5 linked regions of the Macaca mulatta genome follow. The protein of the gene in region 2 purifies or fractionates together with the protein of the main gene of each other region. This does not show direct contact. Links are inferred from orthologs where the notes say so. Each region holds a gene or a part of one and is shown on either strand. Other genes may lie near its edges.

Region 1 (3,980 bases), on a different chromosome or scaffold from region 2:
ATAGCTGCTGAAAGAAGTTCAAATCGTATCTATTTGTCAGAAGTCTATTTCAAACCTTCCAAAGCCTATTCTAATTTATTGCCGGATAAGATCCCACCTTTGACTTTTCACACCACCTTGCTTATATTCCTTTTATGGCAAATATTAGAATTATTATTTGCAAACATGTTTTATCTTCAAAATATATCCAGAATCCAACAGCTTCTAACTAATCATCTTCACTGCTACCATTTTGGTCCAAACCACTGTCATCTTTTCCTTGGATTACTACTACGATATCCTTCTAACTGGTTTTGTTGTTTTCACTCTGGTCCTCCCACTTCCACACCAGACTATTCTTAACATAGCAGTTAGCATGATCCCATAGAAACTGAGGCCATATTACGTCACTTCTCTCCTAAATCCACCTCACCCAGAGTAAAGGCCAAAGTTCTTTTTTTTTTTTTTTTTTTTTTTAAAGACAGAGTCTCACTCTGTTGCTCAGGCTGGAGGGCTGGAGTGAAGTGGCATAATCTCCGCTCACTGCAACCTCCGCCTCCTGGGTTCAAGCGATTCTCCTGCCTCAGCCTCCCAAGTAGCTGGGATTACAGGTGCATGCCACCACACCTGACTACTTTTTAATATATTTTTGGTAGAGACAGGGTCTCACCATGTTGGCCAGGCTAGTCTTGAACCCCTGACCTCAAGTGATCTGCCCGCCTTGGACTCCCAAAGTGCTGGGATTATAGGAGTGAGCCACAGTGCCCGGCTCCAAAGTTCTTATCAAAGGCCCAGGAGGCCCTACATGATGTGCTTCCTCTGCGCCCCCAGCCCCCAACTGCCCAGCTTCTACTTTTTCCTTCACTCACTCCTGATGTTCCCTAAACTCATCAAGCATTCTCCTGTGACAGCACGTTGCACTTGCTGTTCCCCTTGCGTGGAAAACAACTCTTCCAGGTATACGTGTGCCTCACTTCCCAGCTTTCTCCAAGTTTCTGCTAAAATGTAATCTTATTAAATAAGAGAATGTCTCTTACCATCTCATATAAAAATGGCAAGTCCCTTCTCTCTTCCCCATCTCCATCCCCTTTACAATGCTTTTGTTTTTCCAACAGCCCTTATCACCACAAAGCATATTATTCACTCATTGATTGCATGTTTCTCCTCCCTTCAATAAAACGTAAGTTCCGGGAAGGAAGAGACTTATCTGTTCACTGCTGTATCCCCAGCACCTAGAACAGTGCTTGGCACACAGAATGCAATCAATAAACATTTACTGAATAAATGAACAAACTTCCACTTTATTATTATTTTTTAAAGAGACAGGGTCTTGCTCTGTGGTTCAGGCTGGAGTGCAGTGGCATAATCGTAGCTCGTAAGATCCTTTCTGATATTTGAAATTGCAGGCAGTCTATGGATAGCCTGAATGCAATTCTGCAGCCTCAAACTCCTTGGCTCAAGCGATTCTTCCGCCTCAGCCTCCAGAGTAGCTGGGACCACAAGCAGGCACCACCATGCCCAATGACCTTCCACTTTAGAACATAAACTCCTTGAAGGTTCTGCCTGATTCTTGATACTGTTCACATCATCAACTGTGGTGACGTTCATTTAACAGACCTTAACAAAATTTTTGAGTGAAGAGCAAGGGAATCTAAGTTACTGAGAATACTTGGGGTAAGTCTACAAGGAATTAGGGGAATCAACAATCCAAGCAACTGCATACAGAGCACCCTGATTCTAAAACGAAAAGGTGGTTGTGGAAAGCGGAATCAGATGTTTCTCCATCTATCAACATTTTGGGCAGTATTTCCAAGGCATTCATGAAAGTTGCTGAGACAGTAAATATTTCACTCCTTAAACTGCTCGTCTTAATTCACTGGGATTAAACAGCTGTATGTTTCAGGACTCTGTTCAGGTTCGTGCCCTACTCATATCATTTAATCTTCCTAATAAATCCATGCACATAAGATTTTAATCCACTGACACTGGGCAAAGGAGGCAACGTGGACTCGGGGAGGGCAGTGGCCGGCTCAAAGTGGCTGGGCTAATAGGTGTCAGTGCCAGGATTCTAACCCAGGACATTTGGCTTCTGGGCCATCGAACACCGGCACCCAGGCCTTTCGAGGTTGACTAACTTAAGAGCCGGCTCCGCCTCTGCAGGAGTTGCCTCCCAAAAGGCAGAAATACGATTGCGCAGACGACCAGAACAGCCCAAGTTCTTCACCCAGGTTCCCGCGGGATCAGGAGCCTTCAACATTTCTCAAGGAATGCAGTTTTGCCCACAGATGCTTCGAAAACCCAAGTTTCCTGATCGTTGGTATGACACACCCAGGATTAAGCGAGCGTATGCGAGAAGCGCTCTGCAAACCGCCAGGCGAACGGCAACGAAGAGGAAGCCTCGGAAACAATACCTGAACGAGGCGGGGGCTGAAGAACTTGCTGACAATGGGCACCGGTCAATGCTTGGGGGCGGGCGGGGATGTTCAAGAAGGGCTCCAGTCCTCCCCGCGGAGACGGCGGAGCCCCAAGCGTGCGTTTCTGGGGCGCCGAGGTCTGAGGGGGGGCCGGGAGAGCCAGGTCGGTCTTAACAAGCCCCCAGACCCCTCTTAACACCGGCGCGGGGCCCCTGCAGCCTGCCGCCCCTCTCGGCCCAGCCCGCTGCGCGGCGTCGCGTCCCCGTCCGGAAGGCCCCACGGCCCGCCGGCGCCCCGAGCCCCTAGCCCTTGTCAGAGGCCGCCCCTCGCCCGCAGCCCGCCCGGCGGCTGCTTACCTGCGCACCCGGCGTCCTCTGCTTCTTCCCTCCGGAGGCGACTGGAGCCGACCGGCGGTGCCGCCCCCTCCCTCCCCGCCCTCGCCCGCCCCGCCCCCTCGGAGCCGGAACTGCTCCAGCTCCCGCCCTTCTGCCCGCCTTCCGCGGCCCCCTGTGTGGTGTCACTTCCGCCAGCGCCCGACGGCGCGCCGGGAGTCTGGGTCTCGCGAACGCGCCGGAAGCGTCCCTACAGCCGGGAACGCGCCTCGCGGATGACAACAAATTCGTCGCGCGGCGGCAGTGGAGGTGTCTGCCTCAGCCTGTGCCGCCTCCCCTCGCGCTCTCTTGCACTTTCTCTGAGCCGGTTGGGATCTCCCTCGGAAGTCCCCTGGCCTGGGGCCAGGAGGACCCCACTGCGTCTTGCCTCCGCCAGGCCCAGCGCGAGCGGCGCGGCGCCGGCGATGGGGTCTCCCTGAGGAACTCCCGGCGCCAAACAGCGATGAAGGGGCCGCCCCAGGCTTAGGCCCCGCCGCGGCCTGGAGCCGGAGTCGCTACCCTGAGGCCGGAGCCAGCGCCACCCGCAGCCGCAGTCAGCCCAGCTGCCAGCAGTCACCATGCCTTGGCCGTTTTCGGAGTCTATCAAGAAGCGGGCCTGCCGGTACCTCCTGCAGAGGTACCTGGGCCACTTTCTGCAGGAGAAGCTGAGCCTGGAGCAGCTCAGCCTGGACTTGTACCAAGGCACCGGGTCCCTCGCCCAGGTCCCCTTGGACAAATGGGTAAGAGCTGCCGGGCAGCCAGCCGGGCGGGGCTCGCTCCCCTCTTTAGGGCGCTTTGAACCGGTGCCATCCAAGATTGGTGACAGTCATTCCCTCCTTGGGAATTGTTTGGACCCGAGTGTGGCACGGCTCAGATAAATGTGTTAGAGTGTTGTTTAATCTGTTTAACAAGTTTGCTCTCCTGAATCACGTGTTCCGGAAACTTAACAGATGTAATGGAATCTACACTATGGGAATAATTGAGTCAGTGCTTCGGGGGGTCTGTGAAGCAGGCTCAATAGGTCCGTGGGAGGAGGTGACCAGAATTGTCCCTTGGGATGTGAGGGGCCGCAGGGTTTTGTGGCAAACAAACCCTGCCTTGTGCGATGACATTCTGGAACGATTAAGGATGAAGAGGACCTCTGGATGTCAGAATCCCTAGTTATTGGTTTTGGGTTGGCCACTTGCACACCATGTTTGCCTTGTTTGTCATCGTG
Region 2 (4,040 bases):
AAGCACTTACATTGAGCAAATGCCCAGTAAAAGCTCTGGGCTCTCCTGGGATCCACATTTCCCATCTCATTTCCTCTTTTCCCCACGTCTCATTTCCTCTTTTCCCCACTTTCTCTTCTGGTCCATGGCTCTGAAACCTAAGCCTCCAGCTCTCTGGCTGGGGTTCTCCCACCAGTCACACCAAGTCCCCAAACCTCCCTGTCCCCATCCCGCCCAAGCTACCTTGAACCTCTTGTCCTGGAGAACCTTCTTGATGGCGACCAGTTCCCTGGTCTCTGCCAGCCGTGCCTGGTACACGACCCCAAATGAGCCATTGCCAATCACTTTGATGTCTGTGTAAGCCACCTCTTGGGAGCGCTCTGGACCTTGGCCTAGAGTGGCTACCACTGTGGTCACCTTCCCGCTGTCACCTGGGGAACAAAGGGGATACACGATCCACTGACCCATCCTGTCTGCGCATCACCCCATCCTGGGGCTGTAGGAGGAAGGGAAATCTCTGCAGGAAGCTCGTTGGGGACCTCTTTGTTCCCTCCTCCTCTTTGAGGAAAGGTGGATGCTGGAACCTTCCCAGTGACTTTTCAAACCCTCTTCCTTTCTGGGAACCTTAAATCCTGCCCCCCCTCCACATGGGAGGATATTGATACCTAAATCTCTCTGCTTCAAGGGCTGGCAACCCCAAATTTCTACTTCTAGGAAGCAATAGATCACTGGTCGTCTTGGTACTGGGAGACATCAGATGTTGACTCCATCTACTCTGGATCTACTGCCCTCTGGCCCCTCCTCTTTGGAGAAAGCTTGACCTGGCCTCTTCCACTTAAGGGAGCAGTAACCCTCAGGTACTCCTACTTCAGGAAAACACTAACCTATCTCACAGCCTAGAGGATACTAACCTCTAAGTCCTCCCCTGTAGAGCTGGTAACTTCACTGGTTCTTGGTGACAGAAATGAATGTCCTCTCCTGCTGTATGTACCAGTGCCCTGACCCTCACTTTTTGGTACTTTGAGGTTAGAAAAAAACACTGACCTGACCTCTTCATCTGAGTGGTCCAGAGACCCAGACTCCTCCCCGTATGTGGGTGGTCCCTAATGGACAAGCACCAAATTATGAGAATGATGAACCTGACCTTTATTATCAAGGGGCTATTCCAGCCTCAGTCCTTTGAAGGAAAGCTATAATTTCCAATTCCCATTATTCAAATGGTAGCAAACCTTGGTGCCATTCTTAAAGGATAGTGACCCCTTTGAGTAACTGATGAACCAAATCCATTTTTTCTTTTTTTTTTTCTTTTCTTTTTTTTGAGACACAGTTTCGCTCTCGTTGCCCAGCTGGAGTGCAGTGGCACGATCTCGCCTCACTGCAACCTCCGCCTGCTGGGTTCAAGCGATTCTCCTGCCTCAGCCTCCCGAGTAGCTGGGATTACAGGCGCCCGCCACCACGCCCAGCTAATTTTTTGTATTTTTAGTAAAGACAGGGTTCCACCAGTTGTCCAGGCTGGTCTCAAACAGAACCTCAGGTGATCCGCCTGCCTCAGCCTCCCAAAGTGCTGGGATTACAGGCGTGAGCCACCGCGCCCGGCCACCAAATCCATTTTGAGGGGCCAGTGACATGTTCTTTCAGAGGGAGATAACCCTACATCACTATTTTTTTCAGAGCCAATGACACCATACCTTAGAACAATTATTGAACAAGTATAACCTTAGATCCATATTTTATAGGAAACTGTGACCTACCCTGCTCCATTCCATTTTTGTTAAAGGAGACACACCAAGCCATGTATTTTAAAACATGGACTATGGACTTGATTTGAAGGATATGCTGACTCCCAATGTCTTTAAGAAGCAGTAACTATTAATTCTCACCATTGGGGGTACAGCTCAACAATATTTAGGGTGGGTAATGATGCCAGGTCTTGGTTTTAATAGGGAAGGTGATCTGAGTACCAGGTTTGGCAAGCCTGGCCTTATTCTTTGGGGACACAACACAGTAACCTCAAAGCCCTGCTTCTAAGTGATATTCACTCCAAATCCTCATCTTCTGAAGGACAGCGAATGCAGATCCCTCTTTTTCGCGATTGGTCTTATTCTTGTTCTCTTAGGAGACAATAACCCTAAATCCCCATTTGCAAGCGACTGTGACCTCTGATCCAATATTATAATGAGTAGCAACGTCAGATACCTGTTCTTAAGGCTCAAGGACCCAAGATCTCAATAATGAAAGAACAGGGACTTGTAACCCCTGTTTCTTTGAGTGTTAGTAATTCTGATCCAAGAGTAATTCTGATCTCCAAGAGATGGTAACCCCAAGACCCCTTTTCCTGGGAGGAAGAGGGCTCAGATCCCCGATTTGGGGAGGCATAGTGACCTCTGGCTCCTACCTAAGCATATGAAAGAACCTGATGGATGTCTGAGGAGCTTTGGGAACCCTGATCACCACCCTACACGGGCGCCGCTAGTACTCACGGCCCAGCTTCACCCCGGGCGGCGGGAAGCTAGTGCCTGCGCCGGGGCCTCCGCTGCCTCCGCCGCCGCTGCCGCCGGGTCCACCCCCGGAGCTCGAGGCCCCGACGCCCCCACCCATGGCCCCGACAGATGCCTTTCCGCCGCCGGTGCCGCCTGGGCCGGAGGCCGAGCCTCCGGGGCCGCCGCCGCCGCCTCCGCCTCCGCCGCCTGGCTCCGCGAACGAGCTGGTCCGCGCCCTGCCCGAGCCCCCAGGGCCGCCTCCCGAAGGCCCGCCGCCGCTCATGGCGCCGAGCACAGGCCCAGGCCGCGGGGCTCGGGCTCCCCGGGCTGCCCCAGCCGCCGCCGCTGCCGCCGCCTCCCCCGGGCTCTGGCCTCTTCCAGGCCGCGCCGCTCGGGTTTGGGCTCCGGCTCCGGCCCAGCGCCCGCCGCGGGGCACGCCGGGAGATGCAGTCCGGCTGTCGTCCGCGCCGCCGTCGCCGCCCTCGGCCCGCACAGAGAGCCCCGTGGCACGCCGGGAAATGAAGTCCACAAAAGCCTCAGAGTAGACCGCGGGAATGACGGGTCGCGCTATACGTCGGGAAATGGAGTCCAGGGTAATCTGTCTGCCGACGGTACGACGGGGAGCCCTGAAGTATTTCGGGAAGCAGAGAGCCTGATGCACGCTGGGAAACAGAGTCCACTCACTCAGTTTATTGGCTGTGTGTGCGTCCCAGAGCCCGGTGCGCTCTGGGAAATTGAGTCGGCGCGCGTGAACCTGCGGATCTCGGGCCGTGAAGCAAGCCGGGAAATGGAGTCATCGCCACGCCCTCACCGCATTGCAGGTGTAAAGCGATTCTTAAAGCACGCCGGGAAATGGAGTCCCAGGTGGTTTCTTAAGTCCCAAGTGGATACTGCAATTCCGGAGATGGGAGAGGAAATGGAGTAAATTTCGCGCTTCTCTTCCCAGGTACGCTAGGCCGCAGTCCCTGCCGGGAAGTGTAGTCAACACCAAGGCTTCAGTGCAGTTGCCACAGCGAGCCCTGGTGTGTTCTGGGAAATGGAGTTCAAGGCATCCTCCCCATTGACTGAGGGGGCGGGATCGCCCATGAGCTCCAAGCCTGCTGGGGAATAGTCCAGACCTGACCCTTTGTGAGGCCAGTTTGCGGAGGCTTGTCGGGAAGCGGAGTCCAATGGCCACCATCGGGGGCGTGGAGCGAAAGGTTAGAGACTGCAGTAGTTCCCTGGAGAGACTTAAAAGTGTTTCAGCCCCTCCTTCCTCGCCCCCAGGTTCTTCTTAAAGAAAGAGGCGAGGTCGATCAAGGACTGCTGGAAAATGGAGCCAAGCACCTTTAAGTTCCAGGTGACCATAGATCAAGAAAGAAAAAATGTCCCCTCTCTAACCGCAACTCTGCAAAGAATTCGGGAAACAAAGTTCCCGGCGGTTTCTCCGAACACTAACTAGTCTTCGGATACAGTCTAGCTTTTCCTAGCAATGTGGTTCGCACCAGGAAGCTGAATGGAGCATTAAAAAGACGGAAATAGAATTTCTGGGCCGGGCGCGGTGGCTCAGGCTGGGTGCCGGTGGCTCACGCCTGTGATCCC
Region 3 (4,202 bases), on a different chromosome or scaffold from region 2:
ACCCAGCTGCGGAGACCTTGTCTAGCTAGTGAGCTGCTCAGACACAAAGGCGCTCTAATTACCATCCGCAAGCCAGGCTGACAGGGATTTCAAGTGTTTTCATGTTTATGGAGATCAGAGAAATGTGTTCTGTACATCTTTTTCACCGATGGCAAGTATAAAATAAAACCAAACAAAAAACCCAACACATTTATTCAAAGCAGGCATTTCAGTTAAGTTAAAATCCTATAATCAGGATAGCCACAATTCCAGACACTCCGGTGCGAAGTGTAGATATGTCAGTAGCCACATCTGGATGATGAACAAGCCATTGACTATAAAAACGAGAACAACAGCACAGTCTCAGCGCCTTTAGAGTGAGTGAACAGTATGTTCCAAGCACTTCACCATGGTTCACAATGGCAAAGCCTGCAGCTTCTCCATTTGGAGGGTCACATTTTCTACTCGGTTTCCTGCACTTACAAAGGCCAGCTGGCATGGCTGGGGGAGGGGCAGAGGGAGGAAATCAACTCCGCTATCCAGGGAATTGCAGCTGTTATTGCAAATGGCCCCAGAGAGCCCATTATAAGCTGCTGTGCTAGGCTGTGTGTCCCTGGAGTGCCCATCACATGGCGTCTCCCTAGCCCCCAACCCAGGCCCCCAGGATCCCAGAGCCACCCGCTTGAGTAGGACAGCAGAGCCAAGTGGGAGAGGAGGAACCCGGGGCTCCGTCTCGGGAGTTTCCGTGAAAGCCCGGAGCGCGGCCAGGGGCGGTGGTCGCCTAGGGAAGCAGACGCCCAGCACGTCCGCGCTTTCCCACACCCGCGGTGGCGGCGGCGCGCGTGTCCTCAGGAGACTCCAGCACTTGCAAAAAACACTGCGCTCTTCTCCGAGCACGGGCAGAATCCGGCTACTCCGTCCCGCAACCCAGTGCGTGCCCAGGAAACAGTGACCTTGAACCCGAGGAGAGGCAGGCCGGCTGTGAAAATACACTTTAGAGAGCGCGTGGGGTTCACTCCGCGCCTCTCTACCCTTCCATCACCATTCAATACCCCCCGCCCCCATCTCCTGTCCCCACCCGTGTCGTACAGCCTTTCCCCCACCACTCTGAGAAAGGCAGACAGTTGCAAAGAGAGCGCAGGGGTTAACTCCTATTCAACCCTCAAAGGGTCCCTTCATGGCACCGCGTGTTTGATATTAAGCAGCACCTCCAAAGACACAAGATGGTTTTTTTAAGTGTTGAAAATATTCAAGTCTGGCAGATTGGGGTGCACCCTGAAATTATCTACTCATGTTCCCCTCCCCCAAAGTGGATCAGGAGCCAGCCCTGAAAAGGTAAAGCAAGTAACTGGCATCATCCTCAGTAGTTCCGGCGCGCCGCGATCCGGAGAAGCGTGGATTGTGGCCACATGGTCGCGGGGCTGGAGGGCACTGAGAGGCTGCGCGGAACTGCACGCTTCGCGGCTGGGTCGGGTCACTCCAAATAAGGAATCCTACTAACTTGTAAGCTTGGGGTGCGCTCTGTAAAATCCGCCTTAAATAGGGCCGAGTTCTGCATTTCAAATATTTTGGCCCTCAACCCCAGTTACCCGCGAAACATTCGCGATTTTTCTGTTCCTCGTCTTTAGCTTTTTTCTCCCACTTCCAAAAGCCAGAGTTCTCCACCAGCCTGAGCAGAATTGCAGCCCTCAGGGGAACCCCTTGCCCTCTAGTCTGAGGCTGGCGCTGTGGGCACCCCGGGCGTGTTAGCTGCCAGGGATAAGAACGCCGTCGCCAGTTCTGAGCTGCGCCCTCCCGGAGGCGCCAGGGTCACTGCAGGCCGCGCGAGGGCTGCGAGGTGAAGGGGGTTCATGCACCGGGGCCGACAGAGGTCCCAGGAGCGGGCGTTGGGGAAGCTTTGCACGTAACTGCAGCCGTCGCGAATGAAGCCTTCGCACGGCCTCCTTGATGAGGTTTCCAGAGAGCACTAGCTGCTGCAGGAGCCGGTGCGGGTCGTCGTCGCCTGTGCGGGTTTCTGGTTGGGACCCGCGTCGCTGCTGCAGGCGGCGGGAGGCGGCGGCGCCCCGGAGCCATCCTCGCCGGCACGGACCCGACAGCGGCTGCGGGACGCCCTGCTTGCCAGCACCCGGAGGCCCATCGAAGTCGGCCTGAGGGGGCAGTGGGCACAGCGCGCTGGGGCCTGTGGCGAGCTCCGCCACGCAGTAGGGCGCAGCGCGGCCCCGCACGCGGCCGCGGTCCCCCAGGGCGCAGCGCAGGACCCCAGGGGGCGCCGGGCCCACAGTCTCAGCCGACGCGGGAGGCAGCAGCAGCGGCACCGCAGGGGGCCTGGCCTTGTCCGCCGGCACCGCCGCAGCCAGGGGTCCCGGGGCCCGCAGCGGCGCCCCCGGGGGTGCGCACGGCGAGGCCGGGCTGTCCTGCGCCGCGTCCAGCTGCAGCGTCTCGCCGATCTGGGCCACCAGCCGGTCCACCTCGCCCGAGCTGCCCAGCGCCACCGACTGCTGCAGCAGGAGGAAGCTGTCCTCCTCCTCTTCCTCCCCCTCCGCCTCCTCGCCAGCTTCCTCTTCCTCCTCCCTCCGGCAAGGCATGGCCCCCTGTCCGGGCACCCGGAGCTGTGCGGGCGTCGCTGGGGGCTCGACTGCCGGCGGGTGCGGTGGGCCGCGGCGGAGCGGGCGCGGAGCTGAAGACGATGCCGGGGCCGTGGCCGGGGCCGGGGCAGGGGCCGTGGCGGACGCGGAAGCCGGAGCCCGCCAGTCACTCCAGCCGCGCGCCTGCAGCCGCGGGAGCCGGAATCCTGCCGGCTCGGCTTGATTTGTAAACAATGGGTGACGTCGCGCTGGGCCCTACCACCGCGCCGGGGAGGGGGTGCTGTGCCGCTGGGGGACGGGGCTTCTGCGGGACTGGGGGTCTGGGTGAAGCCGGACTGCCTTCTGAGCTCCTTCGCTCAGGGTGCTGTCTGCAAGGGCGCCCTGGGGACCTGATCCTGGCTCCCGCAGTCGGGCGCGGTTGGCATTTCCAGAAATGGACACCAGCGTGGACCTTGTTGGTTTCTTCCACACACAAGCACACACACACAGTAACACACACACACCGACCCACACACCCCTTCTCTCCGTGCGTCAACTCAACCGGGTTTTAGCGTTTGCGCTTTTGAGGTCCGGCATGCGGGTGTCTGGTGAGGATGGAAAGGAAAGGGAGTCAGGCTAGGGATTTGTACGGAGATTAGGGAAACTGACGGGAATGGGAAGGAAGAAGGGGACCTTGTCGTGCGATGGAGGTGGCAGAGTTGGAAATGGCAAAGAAAGGCCACGGATTAATGTTTCTTGATCGAGATCCTGGGCGGATGGGGGCCTGGATGGGGTTGGCATTGCTGGAGAGGAGGAGGTTGCTAGTCTTTTTTGTTTGTTTGTTTTTGAGAGGGAGTCTCGCTCTGTCGCCCAGGCTGGAGTGCAGTGGTTTCATCTCCACTCACTACAACCTCCGCCTCCTGGGTTCAAGCAAATCTCCTGCCTCAGCCTCCCGAGTAGCTGGAATTACAGGCGCCCACCACCACGCCGGCTAATTTTTGTATTTTTAGTAGAGACGGGGTTTCACCATGTTGGCCAGGCTGGTCTCGAACTCCTGACCTCAGGTGATCCACCTGCCTCAGCCTCCCAAAGTGCTGGGATTACAGACGTGAGCCACTGTGCCCGGCCTAGGTTGCTAGTTGCTAGTCGTTTTTTTTTTTTTTTTGAGACAGAGTTTCGCTCTTGTTGCCACAACCTCCACCTCCTGGGTTCAAGCAAGTCTCCTGCCTCAGCCTCCTGAGTAGCTGGATTACCGGCATGTATCACCATGCCCGGCTAATTTTGTATTTTTAGTAGAAATGAGGTTTCTCCATGTTGGTCAGGCTGGTCCCAAACTCCCGACCTCAGGTGATCCACCTGCCTCGGCCTCCCAAAGTGCTGGGATTACAGGCGTGAGCCACTGCACCCTGCCTTTTTTTTTTTTTTTTTTTTTTTTTTTTTTAATTGAGACAGATCTCCTTCTTTCACCCAGGCTGGAGTGCAGTGGCACGATGTTGGCTCACATCAAAGGAGTTTTATTCATAAAAGCCAAAAGTGAAATGGCCCAAGTGTTCATCAACAGGTGAATAGACAAACAACCTATTGTACATTCACACAGGATGATGACAGAAAACAGTTCAGCAACAAAGAGGACTGAATATTGCTGCATGCAGTAACATG
Region 4 (4,050 bases), on a different chromosome or scaffold from region 2:
GATTACCAGCTGTCTTTATTCTGTGCAAAGAAGAGCATTCATGATTTTCTGAAAGTTATAATTAAACTGTAGTTTAACAGGAACATTCAAACTTAAGAATGTATCTGTCTAAATCATCTCTCTCTCTTTACACAAGAAACTTAACAGGGTGTCCTCTGGAGAACTGGATGGAGAGGAGAGAAGAAAAATGATCTTTATCTTTTTCATTCCATATCCCTTTGGTATTTAAATTTATTCATAAAGTACACATTTACTACTTCTATAATTTAAAGCAATCTAGGCTGGATGTGGTGGCTCATGCCTGTAATCCCAGCACTTTGGGAGACCAAGGCAGGCAGATCACTTGAGGTCAGGAGTTCGAGACCAGCCTGGCCAACATGGTGAAACCCTGTCTCTACTAAAAATACAAAAATTATCCAGGCATGGTAGCGCAAGCTTGTAATCCCAGCTACTCAGGAGGCTGAGGCAGAAGAATCGCTTGAATTCAGGAAGTGGAGGTTGCAGTGAGCCAAGATTGCACCACTGTACTCCAGCCTGGGCGACAGTGAGAGTTCATCTCAAAAAAAAAAAAAAAAAAAAAAATTAAAGCAATCTAAATTGTTGGCATCTACCAGTATGTCTTGCCATCAGTTCACCTGTTAACCTTCCTAGAGTCTAATTTTCTCATTTCTCCAGGCCCTGGAGAGGCTATGTGATGATGAAAGCTCTAAGACACAATCTCAACTTTCACAAGTTCACAAGTTTGAAAGAAGAGCTAGATCTTGCTCCTTGGGGGATGAATGCAGGTAGAGAAAGGTCAGGATTCCAGCAATATTGGAAAAATCAAGTATTTTTCCAGCTTCATATTGCTGTAGAGAATATACTATTAGGGCTGGGTACAGTGGCTTACACCTATAATTCCAGCACTTTGGGAAGCCAAGCCAGAGGGATTGTTTGAGTCCAGGAGTTCGAGACCAGATTGGGCAGCATGGCGAGACCCTGTCTCTACAAAAATACAAAAAATTAGCCCTGCATGGTGGCACTGCCTATAGTCGCAGCTTTTTCGGGAGGCTGAGGTGGGAGGATCACTTGAGCCGGGGGGAGGATCACTTGAGCCGGGGAGGTGATCACACCATTGCACTCCAGCCAGGGCAACAGAGTGAGACCCTGGCTCAAAATAAATAAACAAATACAAAATAAAAATAGAGAATATACTGCTAACCTGGGGGTGGGGGGAGGCTCTGGAGGATATATGTTGGAGAATAGATGCATGCAAAGAAATACTATTTAGTGAGGTTTCAGGTCCAAGGGCACTTTACCACTTGGTGGAAGAGACCAGTCATTTGGGTTACTGGGGGGGGGGAATCCAACTGTTTAGCACTTAGAATGGTGCCCCCAAAACTCTACATTAGTCCTGTGGTGGAATCAGACGTAACAAAAAGGGATTGGTTCCAAATGGCCTTATGCATTGAAATAACTCCCCAAATTTGTTTTTCACAAGGAAAATGTCTATGTAATTGGTGTTAAAATGGACCTTCTCCCCAATTCAATATGAAGACAATTCATTTATTCCAGCAGCTGAGTCTGCAGCAGGAATTAAGTGACTTTCAGGATTTGTTAAAGAACAGAATCTGTCCCCCAGGGGAATTTGTTGAGTTTCCGATATCTAAAAAGGAAAGCTCAGCAAGCCATCTGTCTAGGTTTCTTCAGGGCAATATAACTCAAAGTAGAGGGGCCGGGTGACCTCCTGGAGTCTGTCTCTGGTTAGCTTTTTGCTGCTAACTGGGGATAACAGCCTAATGCCTCATGACGGCTCAGCATGGCTGGGTGAGTCCAACTGGCTCAGAGAGCACCAAAAATAAGCCACAAAGCATTCAGTAGTCATATTTATGGTTTTGATTCTAAACACACTTTGTGCTTATCCCTTCCAAGTGGAGAATTTTTATGTAATGTGTGTGCGTTAAGGCCAAAGGAGAAACCTGGAGGCAAAGGAATGCTGGTTGTGGGTCAACAAATATGCCTGATGGATTATGTATGCTTGGTTTAAAAACACTGACTTAAAGTAAAATACCGTGACTACTTCTAACTTAGAAATGAGTTCAGCCCGCCAGACAGAAACCGCCATTCAGAGGAAATAAAGCCGTGAGCACCGGTTCCCTCCACACCCGCGAGGTTCACCTGGAGGCCAGTGGGCCAAGCGAGGCCTTGGAAGCGGAGAACTCAAAGAGGGGCGGGGAGAAAAGAATAAACACACCTCGCGGGGCTCGGCTGGCGGTCGCACAGTCCTGGTCCTTTTGACGGAACTGACCGAGATGACAGCAAGCAGAGGCTCAAATGCAGGATTCAGACCCAAGACTTCTCCCAGCTCTCGGGCGGACCCCAAAGGCGGGGAGCCAAAAACCGGGAGACTAAGCAAGCAGCATTCTCACGCTCCTAAGCTGGCTTCTCGCTCCTCGCTCCTCATGCCCCAAACCTGATCAGGCCCCAACCCCCCTCCCCACAACTCAGTGTTCCCTCCACACGGACCGTCGAGGCTCCCCAGATCCCACGTCTTCGTCCTTCCTGGACCCCGTGCTCCATTCCTTACAGTCACATACAGGGATCGGTTACCTGTAGAGCAGCTCGACAATCCTGAAGGTAGTCCTCCATGATGAAGCCCAAAGTACGCCGTCGCCCCTGGTCGAGGAGAGGTGCCCGTGGTCGAGGAGAGGTTTCCCCGGCGAATGCACCCCGCCCGGGACTCAGGGGCTAGAGGCCAGAGTCAGGAGGCGGGACTCGAACCCGCCACACGGCTAATCGGCCTCCGACCCCGGGAGGAAGTGCGTAACCGGGTGCTCCCGAGCTTGGCGTCGCCCCTCCCCCAGCGGCGGAGGCGGGGCTCTACGCCCAGAGGCTCCTGGGACGTCTTTCCGGAGAGGCCAAGTGGGTGTGGCGTGGGGCGACGTGGGAAACGTAGTCCTGCGGCTCCGCAATGTCCCTAGCTACCGAGGGAAGGAGCGTTTTCTGAGGGATCCGTTGTTTGGTAAACAAATGTGTATGTGTCACAGTAACCCATTATTGTGGCATCTGAACTTTCCCTCTCAGATCAGGCTAAGTATAACATCTTTCCATATATCACACCGAGCATCCGGTTGACATTTTAAATGACACTTGGCAAAACAGATCTTCTTTCCCGAAATTCTGCCTTTTACCAAACTGATTCAATCTCAACCAGTTTTGTGGTTGTTCATGTTAGGAGAACATTAGAATAATCTTTGACCCCTCTTGTTTACCTAACACCTACAGTCTCCTGCCAACTCCTGCTGCTTCTCCCTTTGCAACTCTGTAGCCTGTTTTTTTCCTACAGCCTCCGCAAATATCTTCTCCTTCCTTTCTTGGACGGTTGTAACCTTGACTTTTTGCTCTCTGCCACCCTAATTGTTCCAACTGCTCTTTCAGCCTTTAGAGTTGCTTGAAGTTTCATCCTGTGGCGGCCCTGTACATAGAGTTTTAGGGAACCCTTCAGAATGTAGAGTTAGGTTCCAGCCTCCCTTAACTGCCACTTTGCAGCCGCAGGGTAGTGCAAGTACTGTAAATAAATGGACACTCATCATCAAAAATTCCCTCATTTATTTATCTATCGCTTTATTTCCTACCATCAGCCTCACACCAGCTTTTCCTGCTTCCCCAGCTGTAAATCGAGAGGAGGTGACTGATGAGAGGCCTGTGGTGGAACCACGATCCAGAGCACAGGGGTGTTGGATCGCCTGCCTGCTCTGCCAGTTTTTTCTTCTTCCTCTTCTTCTTCAGACGGAGTCTTGCTCTGTCATCAGGCTGGAGTGCAGTGGCAGGATGTTGGCTCACTGCAACCTCTGCCTCCCGGGTTCAAGTGATTCTCCTGCCTCAGCCTCCCGAGTAGCTGGGGCTACAGGTGCGTGCCACCACGCCCTGCTAATTTTTGTATTTTTAGTAGAGATGGGGTTTCACTATGTTGGCCAGGTTGGTCTTAATCTCTTGACCTCGTGATTTGCCCGCCTCAGCTTCCCAAAGTGCTGGGATTACAGGCGTCAGCCATCGCGCCCAGAGCCTGGG
Region 5 (4,089 bases), on a different chromosome or scaffold from region 2:
TCTGAGCTCCCTGCACACTTTTCGGGGTTGGGGGTGGGAGGGAGCTGTTGGGAGAGGCGGGGAAGGTGAGAGGAGGGCAAGTGCTGGGGGCGGCAGGGGGACATCGGAGGTGTAAGACACAACCTTCCAAAAACCCACTCGGCCAGGGCGCACGCAGGGCAGCTCAGCCCGCGCCTCGCTTCCCCTACTTTCCCCTCCCCCGATACCATCAACTCCAAAAAGGCGCACTCCCAGCCGCTAGGCTGTGTGCAGGTGAAACCAATTTCGGTAAATTTTCCCCACTCGGCTCTGCACAGATAACTCGAGCTCCAAACGTGCCCTTCCCCGGCATCTGGTTCCCATTCTCCCCACCCGCCCCCTCCCTCTGCGCTCCCTCTTCCCACTCCTTAAAAATTCAGAAGATCCTCGTCCGAGAGAAGCCCGCCCAGCATAGGCGGATTGGGCTCCCGGACTCCCAGATTCAGCACGCAAACGCCCCCTCCCCAACTCAGATGTGAGTGTTCGCTGCGCGCCCCCTACCCCCGCCAAGAATCCAGCTCAGTCAACACCTCTGTCTTCCCTGACCTCCCCCAAACCAGAAACCAACTCACTCAGTGGAAACTTTGATCTTCAAACTTTGAGAGAGAGCTGAGAAGCCTCGGACTCGGAACCGTCGCCCCCGTGCCCCCAACCCACCTCCGCGAGCCGCGAAACCTACAAAACTGGATCACCAGCCATCTCACGCCACTACTGCCTGTGTCAAGAATCCCAAACTCTACTGATTTCAAGCCTGTCTTTTTTCCAAAAGAAAAAAGTCTTATCTAACCAATAAACAAGCTGCTTTTCCTAGCACGGAAAGGATCAAACTAGGAAGGGTAGGGGCGGACCGGGGGACGGGGTGCAACCCCGGGCAAGGAGCCAGGGACCCCGGGTCTGGGATGGGTGCACGCTGACCCCGACCGAAGCTTCGAGCCGCGGGGCTGGGCGGCGTGGCCCACGGAGTAGTGGGGCTGCCGTTAGCACCGCGCTACCCGGGCGGCAGGGAGGTGGGGCGGCCCCGTTACCTGGAAGACGAAGGCCGCCGAGGCCGGGCTCTCATGTCCTCCGAGCCCCTCCGGCCCGGTCCCCCGGCCCGAATGCAACCGAACGCCTCCAGAGCCCCGGCGGGCACACCTCGAGGCCGGAGCCCCGGGACGCGCCAGCAGCGTCCCGTGCCCGGGCGGGGGGTCGGTCCCCAGCGCCGCCGCTCGCAGAGGCGCCCGCAGAAAAAGCACAGAAAGCAGCAGCCTAGTACAGAAATGGCGACGCGCGGAGTCCTTGCCTCTCCGCAAAAGGGGCCGGGGCGGCCACGGGCGCGGGGCCCGGGCGGGGAGAAGGGACGCGAGGGACGCGGGCGCCCCGGACTTGGGCCGGTCCTGCGCGCAGACTGAGCCTCCGCCAGCTCTGTGGGCCCCTTAGCGCGGACCCGCAGCAGGGAGGGGAGAAGGGGAGGGGGAGAGAAGTAGGAGGAGAGGATGGGGCGGAGAAGAGGCGGGGGGCGGGGGGAGGGCAAGCGGGGGGCGCCGCTACCCTTTCATCCCACCTCTCAAAGGCACTCCCGCGCGCACTCACACCCCGACTCACATCCATAACCGCGACAGCGACGCGACCCCCGGGGGGTATCTGCCCGCTCTCCGCCCCCGCCACTGCAGCCACTCGGAGAAGTCTCCTCTCCCGGCCCCCCGCCAACCCGGTCCCCGCGCTGGGGAGGGGGCTCCGGCGCAGGGCGCGCGGGGCTGCCCGGCCAAGTCCCCCGGGAAGGCTGGGCGCTGGGGTCCGCCGCTCCCCTCAGCGCCTGCCCCTAGCGCGCCCCAAAATAGCCGGCCTGCCAACTTCAAAGGGCCGCCCCGCACATCAAAGCGCGCGGGCCGCCCGGCTGCCTCGGCCTCGGCACTCACCATTGATCCCCGCGCGCGATCCGCGGCGAGACCTCGCAGGCGCCCCTGGCAGGGGCCCGGCCCCGGCCCCCGGCTCGGCTCGCGGCGGCAGCCCCAGGCCCCCCCGGGCCGGCTGCGGCGTCGGGGAACATGGGGAGTCGCGCGGCGGGGGAGGGGGTGCGGGAAACAACAATCCCGGGATCAGAGCGAGAGCCACCGGCCGGGGAGGGGGAGCGGCGCGCCCCGCCGCCCCTTTTATGCAAAAGATCCGAGCGGGCCTCCGCCCCCGCCGCGGCCGTCCCCGGCCCCTGCGGCCCCCGCCCGGCCCGGCTTTCAACGCAGGTCCTGTTTCCAGCAGTCACTCGGCGCACCAAATGTCCTCCGGGCGCTTCCAACAAAAACTGCGCTGTGGATTTAACTGTGCACTTCAAAGGCGCGAGCCGAGCGCACGGTCCTGAAAGGGAGGTACGCGCCGGCCGCGCCCCGGGCCGCCCCCCACAGCCCCGCCGCTGCTCCTCAGGGCCGCCCCGCCCGCGACCCCCTCTAGGGCCGGCCTCCGCCTGGCCGGGCCCCCTCCCGCCCCCAGCGCCCACGCCGCGGCTCGGCGCGACCTCGCCCCCTGTCCGAGGGGGGCTTTCTTTGAAGCGGCTCAGCTGGGGCCGAGCCTCCACCCCCACCTTTTACAGCAGGGCCTTCGGCGGGCGCCTCGGCCGCCGGGCGGCCCCGAAATCCATCTCTCTGAGGGGTTATTTTTATTTCCCGGCTCTCGGGCTGTTACTGAGTTGCCAGGACCTTATCAAAGCGCAGCCGGCTCCAGCCGACTCCCCCGGGCCGGGCTCGCGGAGCCAGTGATCCCGCCGCGCCAATCACAGCCGCGCTCGGCCGGCCCGCGCCGCCCGCCTTAAAGGGACAGCGCCCCGCTCCCGCCCCGCCCCGCCCCGGTCCGCCCCCGCCGCACGCTCCGCTCCCGCGTTAACCCTTCCCCTGCTTCTCCTCCGCCCCCTGCCGGCCCCCCGCGGCCCGGAGGGCGTTCTCAGCCCGAGTTCTGATTTCTTCTTTCAAGTTCTCCGGCCTCTTTGCTCCCGCCTCCACCCCCTGCCTGCCCTCGCTCTCCCCCGCTCTGGAATGCAACAGTTTCTTGTAGCATTATGGCCATCGCAAGAACTGCAAGCAAGCAGATTTTTTTTTTTCTATCATCAAACACTTTTCTACTTCTATTCAAGTTTCCCTGGGAATTTGGGCTTGGAGGACTTTATAAAGGGAGTTCTGGCCCTGGGGTTGGCTGGCCCGCTGTCATAGGGCGGACTCGGGGCCAGCCGCTGGAGGCGTGTGCATGCCTGTGCGCGATTGTGCACGTGCATCTATCTGAGTTCGGGTAAATATAGGACTGCAGTTGGTGGATGAATTGCGTTTGTACATGTGTGAAGGTGGGGTGTGAATCCGCCAGTATAGGCCTGAGTGCTAACACCAGTTAGGAGGCATACCTCAGTGCCCTGAAGACCTAAGTCCAGCTTCCTAACCTGCTGGCCATAAGACCCTAAAAGCGGCACACATTGGCCATCTCTGCCAAACAACTGCATACCCGTTACTCTTCCGAAGTCCCCTCTTCTGCCATATGTTACATATTAAACCGATATGGAATATCTTTTTTCCCACTCCAAACGACAAGGCATGCCGTTTTAATGTATCGAAAACTCCTCACCCCATTGTCACCTTTGAATTTCTCCCACATTTCCCCAAAACGTTTATAAGGCACACACAACCTTCTCCCTTAAAATGAGAAAGTATGTCACAAACCCAGAGCATTATGTATTTATTCATCTGCTGCTATAGAATGATCCCTTATGAGCGAATAATTAACTTTTCTTCCTTTTAAAAAACATAAAGGGCCGGGCATGGTGGCTCACGCCTGTAATCCCAACATTTTGGGAGGCCCAGGCTGGAGGATCACCTGAGGTCAGGAGTTCGAGACCAGCCCGGCCAACATGGTGAAACCCCGTCTCTACTAAAAATACAAAGATCAGCCGAGTGTGGTGGCGCGTGCCTGTAATCCCAGCTACTTGGGAGGCTGAGGCAGGATAATCACTTGAACCTAGGAGGTGGGGGGTTGCAGTGAGCCAAGATGGCGCCACTGCACGGCAGGCTGGGTGACAAAGCAAGACTCCCTATTAAAAACAAAAACAAAAACAAACAA

What was found.
Region 1: the proteins of GSK3A (region 2) and GSKIP purify together in Homo sapiens (affinity purification with mass spectrometry; 7 studies listed by BioGRID and IntAct, with this or other methods). This does not show direct contact. The link is inferred for Macaca mulatta from reciprocal best matches to the Homo sapiens genes GSK3A and GSKIP.
Region 3: the proteins of GSK3A (region 2) and FRAT1 purify together in Homo sapiens (affinity purification with mass spectrometry; 4 studies listed by BioGRID and IntAct, with this or other methods). This does not show direct contact. The link is inferred for Macaca mulatta from reciprocal best matches to the Homo sapiens genes GSK3A and FRAT1.
Region 4: the proteins of GSK3A (region 2) and PRUNE1 purify together in Homo sapiens (affinity purification with mass spectrometry; 3 studies listed by BioGRID and IntAct, with this or other methods). This does not show direct contact. The link is inferred for Macaca mulatta from reciprocal best matches to the Homo sapiens genes GSK3A and PRUNE1.
Region 5: the proteins of GSK3A (region 2) and AXIN2 purify together in Homo sapiens (affinity purification with mass spectrometry; 3 studies listed by BioGRID and IntAct, with this or other methods). This does not show direct contact. The link is inferred for Macaca mulatta from reciprocal best matches to the Homo sapiens genes GSK3A and AXIN2.

The regions. Positions count from the first base shown.
Region 1 is NC_133412.1:169,670,436-169,674,415, reverse strand, and holds the start of GSKIP (GSK3B-interacting protein), read right to left. Parts: upstream 2,801-3,980; 5' UTR 2,750-2,800; intron 1-2,749. Other genes in the region: ATG2B (autophagy-related protein 2 homolog B), read left to right, coding at 3,343-3,504. UniProt on the Homo sapiens protein: A-kinase anchoring protein for GSK3B and PKA that regulates or facilitates their kinase activity towards their targets.
Region 2 is NC_133424.1:53,295,304-53,299,343, forward strand, and holds the start of GSK3A (glycogen synthase kinase-3 alpha), read right to left. Parts: upstream 2,801-4,040; 5' UTR 2,743-2,800; coding exon 2,460-2,742; intron 411-2,459; coding exon 223-410; intron 1-222. UniProt on the Homo sapiens protein: Constitutively active protein kinase that acts as a negative regulator in the hormonal control of glucose homeostasis, Wnt signaling and regulation of transcription factors and microtubules, by phosphorylating and inactivating glycogen synthase (GYS1 or GYS2), CTNNB1/beta-catenin, APC and AXIN1.
Region 3 is NC_133414.1:109,362,608-109,366,809, reverse strand, and holds FRAT1 (proto-oncogene FRAT1), read right to left. Parts: upstream 2,801-4,202; 5' UTR 2,565-2,800; coding exon 1,725-2,564; 3' UTR 175-1,724; downstream 1-174. UniProt on the Homo sapiens protein: Positively regulates the Wnt signaling pathway by stabilizing beta-catenin through the association with GSK-3. May play a role in tumor progression and collaborate with PIM1 and MYC in lymphomagenesis.
Region 4 is NC_133406.1:116,095,805-116,099,854, forward strand, and holds the start of PRUNE1 (exopolyphosphatase PRUNE1), read right to left. Parts: upstream 2,801-4,050; 5' UTR 2,629-2,800; coding exon 2,590-2,628; intron 199-2,589; exon of another isoform or gene 1-198. UniProt on the Homo sapiens protein: Phosphodiesterase (PDE) that has higher activity toward cAMP than cGMP, as substrate. Plays a role in cell proliferation, migration and differentiation, and acts as a negative regulator of NME1. Plays a role in the regulation of neurogenesis.
Region 5 is NC_133421.1:75,316,479-75,320,567, forward strand, and holds the start of AXIN2 (axin-2), read right to left. Parts: upstream 2,801-4,089; 5' UTR 2,573-2,800; intron 2,057-2,572; exon of another isoform or gene 1,917-2,056; intron 1,876-1,916; exon of another isoform or gene 1,603-1,875; intron 1,456-1,602; exon of another isoform or gene 591-1,455; intron 1-590. UniProt on the Homo sapiens protein: Inhibitor of the Wnt signaling pathway. Down-regulates beta-catenin. Probably facilitate the phosphorylation of beta-catenin and APC by GSK3B.